Ovis aries: one gene and its partner. The protein of the gene in region 1 binds, or shares a complex with, the protein of each later gene. Links are inferred from orthologs where the notes say so. Each region holds a gene or a part of one and is shown on either strand. Other genes may lie near its edges. The genes, in order: CLSPN and CHEK1.

Region 1 (3,922 bases):
GTTTGCCTGAGACTGAGGAGGTGGTACTTTCAATGCTAAAACTGTGATAGTCCTGGGAAAATAGAAACAAGTTGTTCATCCTGTCAGTGGATAGGACCATCATTGGCGAAGTCAGGAGGGTAACTGTGACCTTTCTTTTTTGGTGCACTGATGTCTTCCTTACAGTAATCTTGTAAATATCTTGTAGAAGCGAGACTCAACAAGAATCTGGAGAGAAAGGAAGCTCGAACAATGCAGTGGGGAGAAGTCAGTCTTGCCTGGATAGGGCAGGATAACAAAAGAGACAGAATGGACCTGAAGGGGCAAATAGTAACCAGCACAATGGCAAGGAATTAGAACTGTCTGGGATTAGTCTGACTCCAGACATTTTTTTTTTTTTTTAACCTGCCTTGTTCAACGAGTATGGGAGTGGGATGGGTGGGTGTTTTCTGCATACTCGGATTAAACTTAAATAAAATTACAAACCTTATCCAAGGATATTCTTTGGTATCTGAGCAGCCACAAAACTTTTCTGATGTCCAGTGGCGTGAGTGCCAAGTACAAGAAGGAGCAGGTAGGATCCAGCTGCTCCAAGAAAGGAAGTCCTGGAGGAAATCGCCACTGAGGACGACCTCAGATGCCCAGGTATCTGCTTCCGGCTCACTTCCTGCCGGCAGGGCTCACTCCTCAAATTGCGCTTGATGGGAACTGTCTCGCTACGGTAAAGGTCAAATGTAAAAGACCACCACTCGCACAGTACCTTCTTGCAAGGCCAAAGGATCTGGCCGCAAGTAAGGCAGGACACCTCCAGCCTCCCCCAGCCTGAATTGACAAGAGGAGCCGCAAACCGCCAACCTCACCCAAATTACATTCAACGGGCTGGCCGAAGGCGTTCCGTGATTGGCAGGACAGCATGGGGGCGTGGTCTCACGTAGAAAGTCTCCTCCGGATTGGTGCAAATCATCGAGGGCGAGGCCTCCACTCCGGCTGGGCGCGAAAGCTCGAACGCCGCTGCCTGACTGGAGACGGCGGGAGCGGCTGAGTCCCGACGGGTAGGGGAACTGGGGACCTGTTTCCTCCCGAGTGGCGCGCTGAGGAGGCCCTGGTCATGACGGGTGAAGTGGTTTCCGAGGTGAGTTCGTGCCCTTGCCTGCATCCGTAGCTGCGGGGGCCCGGCGCCGAGGGATTGGGGGCGGGGGAGGGGGGTAGCAGGGGTCGAGCCGGCCGAGCGGGTCGCGGAGGCGGGAGGACTACAGTTCCCGGCCCGCACCGCGGCGGCTCGGCTTCTGTACTCGCGCGGAGACAAATCCGCGGGCCCCGCGCGCACGGGAGCCAGCGGTCCGCCCCGGCTCTGGGTCCTTCTCGCCTCAGTCCCTCGGCCGGGTTGTACCCGGTCTTTGCGTCGCGCTCAGCCGGCCGCCGGCCCCAGCTCAGCCTGCTCCGCCCGCCCCTTTGGCGCGTTTCCGGTGGCGGGAGCGCTTCCTACAACAGCGCCCCCCAAAGAGGAAGGACCCAGCCGAACCGGACCGCTAGGGTGCTGTGCATGCGTAATCGCTAAGTCGTGTCCGACTCTGCGACCCCATGGACCGTAACCCGCCAGGCTCCTCTGTCAGGGCAGCATAAGGAAGGGAAAGTGAAGTCGCTCAGTCGTGTCCGACTCTTTGCGACCCCATGGACTGTAGCCCACCAGACTCCTCCGTCCCTGGGATTTTCCAGGCAAGATACTGGAGTGGGGTGCCATTTCCTTCTCCAGGAGACTTTCCCGACCCAGGGATTGAACCCGGGTCTCCCGTATTGAAAGCAGACGCTTTACCGTCTGAGCCACCAGGGAAGTCGCGGCAGCATAATTCTCTGTAAATGGACGGCGGGAGTCTGAGGGAGTTCCAAACTGGGTCTGGAAGAGGCCTCTGAAGTCATCGCCCTGGGTCCCGAGAAGGGAAGGTACCACCAGTCTTGGAAGACTTCCGGGCGGTGACTCGCTGATCGTTCTCGGAACTGGCATAGAGGCATCTTTCCAAATCTGTGTTCTTTTTTGGAGCTGGGGCTGGAGTGAGACAGTATGGGGCAAAATTTAACGGGGCGCTAAAATACTCAGTAATCAAGATAATTTTTTAAACTTTTTTTATTGAAGCATAGTTGAATGACCATGTTTTGTTAATTACTACTGTTCAGCAAAGTGACTCAGTTACACTTATATACACATTCTCTTTCATATCCTTTTCCGCTATAGTTTATCACAGGATGTTAAACAGAGTTCCCTGTGCTATACAGTAGGACTTTGTTGTTCAAGATAATATTTTATGTAGTTTTTTAAAAATAAAAATTAATGCAAAAAGAATTCCATAATTTGGTTTTGAACAAGATATCAAACTGAAATGAAGACACAATCCAACCCTGTATCTAGACTACACTGCCTTACTCACCTGACTCAGCCTGGCCCAGATTCCAAAAAACTTTATAAAAGCAGGCAGCTGACCTCATGGGCCATAATTTACCCACTGCTTTTTTAAATTTTAATTTTGCACAAAAATCCTTTTGATTACTAAGTGTTTGAGACCTCCTAACCTCCCCGTGTTCCTGGCCCTGATTATTGCTGGTTCTGCTCCAAATTGCCTAGAGTAGAGTGATGAGGAGCATCACCTTGGAGTGAGCCATGTGGTTGTCTAAACTCAGTTTCCATAGCCACAAGTACTATTACTGCTTTGAGTTGTTGGGAGAATCAACAGCATACATCATGATCCTCAGTGATTCCTCTGTTTGTATTATTTTTTATTATTTTAATAATTGCACTAAATATTCAGATCAACTTAGCAGTTGTCTCAAACTGTTCGAGTGTGGTCTTGTGCCCCATTACATTACATATGTATTTTCCCCCTTATTAATAAGTTGATTCAGAGTCCTGCGAACACCAAGGTTGTGGGGGAACTGGCATCTAGGGTTAGCTTGATCATTAACTATAGTCAAGTCATCAAACTACCTCCCTTCTCCTTAGATTTTTCACTTGTGACTTAAAAAATTGGAGGGGGGTAGTTTGGGGCTGAATTTTAGACATAAACAAACAGAAAAGCTGTTAAAATGAACCCATCATCTAACTTCTACAGTTATCAAGTCATGCCAATCTTGTTTCATTTACACCCCCATGCACTTCCCCCCCTTACTGGATTACTTGACAGCAAATTTCCACACATACTTCATCCCCAAATATGTCATTATACATATCTAAAAGGTAAATGCATTCCAAAAAAGATAACTATAATATTACTACCATACCTAAAAAATTTAGAATTATTACTTGATATTAAATGATCAGAGTTCAGATTTCTTTGACTCTTACATATACTTTCAGTTTGTTTGAATTAGGATTAAGACAAAGCCTGCATATTGCAGGTATTGCTGTATCTCTGTATGTATGTGTGAATATCTTAACTCTTTTTATAAGTCCCCCTCCCTCTTTTTATTCTTGCAATTTATTGTTAAAGAAACGACATAGTTTGTCCTATAGAGCGTCCCATATCTGGATTGCCTCTGTGTGATGATATTTGACATGTCATGTGGATACACTGAGAAATAGTTCACACAGAAAAACACAATAATGCTTGATTCTCATTTACCATAACTCAAAGCGTTGCCTCTGTAATATCCTTCAAAGATGAACAATGAGTTTTAGTTTGTTTTTTCTAGCCAGTAATGTTTAATGTCATCCTTTTGTTAAACCATTGTATTGTTTTTTTCCCTTTATTTCAGACTGATGATCCCATGATGATTTATGTATCTTTATGTACTTAGAGTGTTCTGTCACTTGCTGGTTAATGCAAAGTATATTCTCATTTTCTAGGTTCACCTAGAAATCAATGATTCAAAACTCATTTCACAAGAGGAAACAGACAGTCCTTCAGACAGTGGACAGGGCAGCTGTGAAACAATTGGGCCCTTGAGTGAACAA
Region 2 (3,822 bases), on another chromosome or scaffold:
GAAACATGTCATTGAGCAAGATACATTGTTATATTGACTAAGACAAAGCAATGTAGAAAGAAGGTTTGACCTTTTTTTCTTGAGAGCCCCAGACTCCTTTCCCCTCCTTGGAAACCTTGGACTTCTTATCAACCTACCTAGGAACTGACTCTCATGAGCAAAGAAGGTTGAGTAGAGCAGATTCATAACATTCATTGTCATTATCACAAATTATTTTTTATTTTAAAAGGTTTTGATCCTGTTACTGTGTCTCTCAGTCATCATAGAACATTTTTCTGTTACCAAAAACGGTACCATTGAAATGACTGCCTTAACATTGACACTGTGCACTTGGGACATACTTATAGGCCAAGGTTTATAAAATGTGTAGTTTGCACAATTTGACAAGTCAGTCCGAGTCAGAAGTTCCTAACCACATTTCTCATAAAATCATGTAGAAAGAGCCACTATCTATTGTGTAAGTATTTTGTGTTTAAGAAATGAATTTAAATATGGTTTTTCTTCTTCAAGTTGCCAACTGGGAAAGCATTTGTATTTATGTTATTTTTTTTAGGGGCAAAGAGGCCCCGGGCTACTTCTAGTGGTGTATCAGAGTCTCCTGGTGGATTCTCTAAGCATATTCAATCCAACTTGGACTTCTCTCCAGTAAACTGTGCTTCTAGGTAAGGTCACTTAATAATTAATAAAAGATCAAGTAATTGTTGGATATAATAGTCCCCATGAAAAATAATCCATGTATATAATGTTTTCTGAAGATGAATATAATTTTTTTCAGTGTGAGAATGATAATGCCATATAAGAAAGGCCTAAAGAACTTTATTTAAAGCTATATTTTTCTCCATATAATAATGCCTCAGTGAAGAAAGTGTGAAGTACTCCAGTTCTCAGCCAGAACCACGGACAGGCCTTTCGTTATGGGACACCAGCCCTTCATACATTGACAAACTGGTACAAGGGATCAGCTTTTCCCAGCCTGCTTGTCCTGATCACATGCTTCTGAATAGTCAATTGCTTGGCACTCCAGGATCCTCACAGGTAAGGGAATTTAGTTCCTCAAATAAATAACGAAACTCTATTTTTTATTGTCTTAAAGTCTTTTTTTGTCAATTTAAGAAATACATTGTTAACACTTGATACAGATTTTCTTTTTTTGACATGGAGGAGAGAACTAGGGGAGACTTTTTTTCCCCTAATGTTTATTTGGCTACACCGGGTTTTAGCTGTGGCACACAAGATCTTCAATCTTTATTGCAGGATGTGGGATCTAGTTCCCTGACCTGGGATCAGACCTGGGCCCACTGCATTGAGAGTGCAGAGTCTTAGCCACTGGACCACCAGAGAAATCCTGAGACTAAAGACTTTTTTTCTCTTTTTTTTAGCCACATCATGGCATATGGTTCTTAGTTCCTTAACCAGGGATTGAACCGTGGCCCCTGGCACTGGAAGCAGAGTCCTGACCACTAGGCTGCCAGGGAATTCCCTAGGGGAGACAATTGTACATAAGAATCTGAAGTCAGAGAAAAGAATTTTCAGGCCAAATAGCTATAGTATGATTACTTTGGTGGTAAATCTGATAATTTATTCAGCTTTCCTCTATTCGACTTGTAGAACCCCTGGCAGCGCTTAGTCAAAAGAATGACACGATTTTTTACCAAATTGGATGCAGACAAATCTTATCAATGCCTGAAAGAAACTTGTGAGAAATTGGGCTATCAGTGGAAGAAAAGTTGTATGAATCAGGTATGTTTCATTGATTTTTGTTAGATCTTTTCCTGAAGAAAAATTTAAAATATTTGAGTAAAAAAAAGAGCTATCATTTTATGGTTGATTCATGTTGATATTTGGTAGAAATCAATGCAATACTGTAAAGAAATTATCCTTCAATTAAAAATAAATTTTAAAATGCTATCATTTTATGTATATATTAAAAATATAAAGTAATTAGTTTAATTTGAAAAAGAAACCATTGAAATTTAAGTACAATGTTTTTCCTTAAGAACTAGTATTTCTTAAAAGACTTCTCTAAGGTTATTACAAATACTAAGAGATTCAAGTCTTATTTTCTTTAAAACTATGCGTTATACTTAAATTGTAACAGCAATGAGCTTTCTTCTGTGAAAGATGGATCCGTTAACAATTCCATGCTTCCTCCATCTTCCCTGCTCCCAATTGCCGATTTTTGTTGTTTACATTGTTATAGCGTATTTATAATATTGACATTCTGATCTGTCTTTAGGCTTTTCCAAAGTCTTACAATTGTGAAAAACAAAGAGAAAGGAATATTTTGTATTAAAGGAGACTAAGACAATCATGTAAAAAAGAAGTAAACATGCTTATCTAGGTTTATAAGACCAATAAACATTTGTGGTTATTTATTGTAGGATTCTTTCAGTTTTTCTGTAGATTTGTAAACTTTCAAAATTAAAAGTTAAGGGAAAATGTTACTGTGAGGAAACCTGAAGCCAACCTGAAGCCAGCCTGATTATCCTCTCACTTATATAGATATCTTACATTTTTTTTTTTAGGTAGACTTATTGAGATAAACCTCACATGATAGAAAAATTATCACTTTAACCATTTTAAAATGTACAATTTAGTGGTTTTAAGTATATCACAGGATTATGGAGTTATCACCATTTAAATCTAGAACTTCCCACTGCCCCCCAAGTAAACTCTCTACTAATTAGCAGTCATTCTTCGTTCCTTCCTCCCTGTCAATCGCTAATATACTTTCTGTGGATTACCTACTTTTGGGCATTTCATATAAATTGAATCATATAGTATATGACCCTTTGTGTTTGTCTTCTTTTACTTAACGTAGTATTTTCAAGGTTAATTCATGTCGTAGCATTTATCAATACTTTATTCCTTTTAATGGGTGATTGATAGCCCGTTATATGAATAGACTGTTTTGTGTAACCATTTATCTATTGATGGACATTTGGGATGATGTATCTACTTTTTGGCTGTTAGGAATAATGCTTCTGTGAGCATTCAGGTTTCTGTGTGAACACAGGTATTTTAGTTTGCAAGGGCCATCATAACGAAATACCATAGAGTAGGAGGTATTTATTTGTTTATTTACAGAGATTTATTTTCCTACAGTTCTAGACACTGAAGTCCAAGACCAAGGTTCTGGCAGGGCTGGTTTCCTCTGGAACCTTGGCTTTTACATGGCCACCTTCTTGCTGTCTCCTATGCTTTGTCCTCTCTGTGCACACATCCCGTGTATCTGCCACTTTCTGTATCCTGATTGCCTTTTCTAATGAAGACACCAGTCAGATTGGATTAGAGCCCTCTGAATGGTCTCCTTTGAACTTAGTCACCTCTAAATTAAAAGACACTTGCTCCTTGGAAGAAAAGCAGTGACAAACCTAGACAGCATATTAAAAATCAGAGACATTATTTTGCCAACAAAGGTCTGTATAGTCAAAGCTATGGTTTTTCCAGTAGTCATGTACGAATGTGAGAGCTGGACCATAAAGAAGGCTAAGCACCGGAGAATTTATGCTTTTGAAATGTAATGGTGCACAAGATTCTTGAGAGTCCCTTGGACTGCAAGGAGGTCAAACCAGTTAATCCTGAAGGAAATCAACCCTGAATATTCATTGGAAGGACAGATGCTAAAGCCGAAGCTCCAATACTTTGGCCACCTGATGCGAAGAACTGACTCATTGGAAAAGACCCTGATGCTGTGAAGCACTGTAGGTACGAGAAGGGGACAACAGAGGATGAGATGGTTGGATGGCATCACCAACTCAATGGACATGAATTTGAGCAAGCTCTGGGAGATGGTGAAGGACAGGGAAGCCTGGTATGCTA

The links.
Region 2: the proteins of CLSPN (region 1) and CHEK1 are in contact, whole or in part, in a crystal structure (PDB 7AKO), measured with the Homo sapiens proteins. The link is inferred for Ovis aries from reciprocal best matches to the Homo sapiens genes CLSPN and CHEK1. Residues at the interface, in NP_071394.2 of Homo sapiens: Glu938, Leu940, Leu941, Leu943, Cys944, Ser945, Gly946; in NP_001107593.1 of Homo sapiens: Lys53, Lys54, Cys57, Met61, Arg129, Thr153, Val154, Phe155, Arg156, Tyr157, Asn158, Arg160, Glu161, Arg162.

Annotation. Positions count from the first base shown.
Region 1 is NC_056054.1:10,716,565-10,720,486, reverse strand, and holds the start of CLSPN (claspin), read left to right. Parts: upstream 1-996; 5' UTR 997-1,087; coding exon 1,088-1,111; intron 1,112-3,814; coding exon 3,815-3,922.
Region 2 is NC_056074.1:26,508,256-26,512,077, forward strand, and holds part of CHEK1 (serine/threonine-protein kinase Chk1), read left to right. Parts: intron 1-553; coding exon 554-662; intron 663-857; coding exon 858-1,035; intron 1,036-1,608; coding exon 1,609-1,740; intron 1,741-3,822. UniProt on the Homo sapiens protein: Serine/threonine-protein kinase which is required for checkpoint-mediated cell cycle arrest and activation of DNA repair in response to the presence of DNA damage or unreplicated DNA.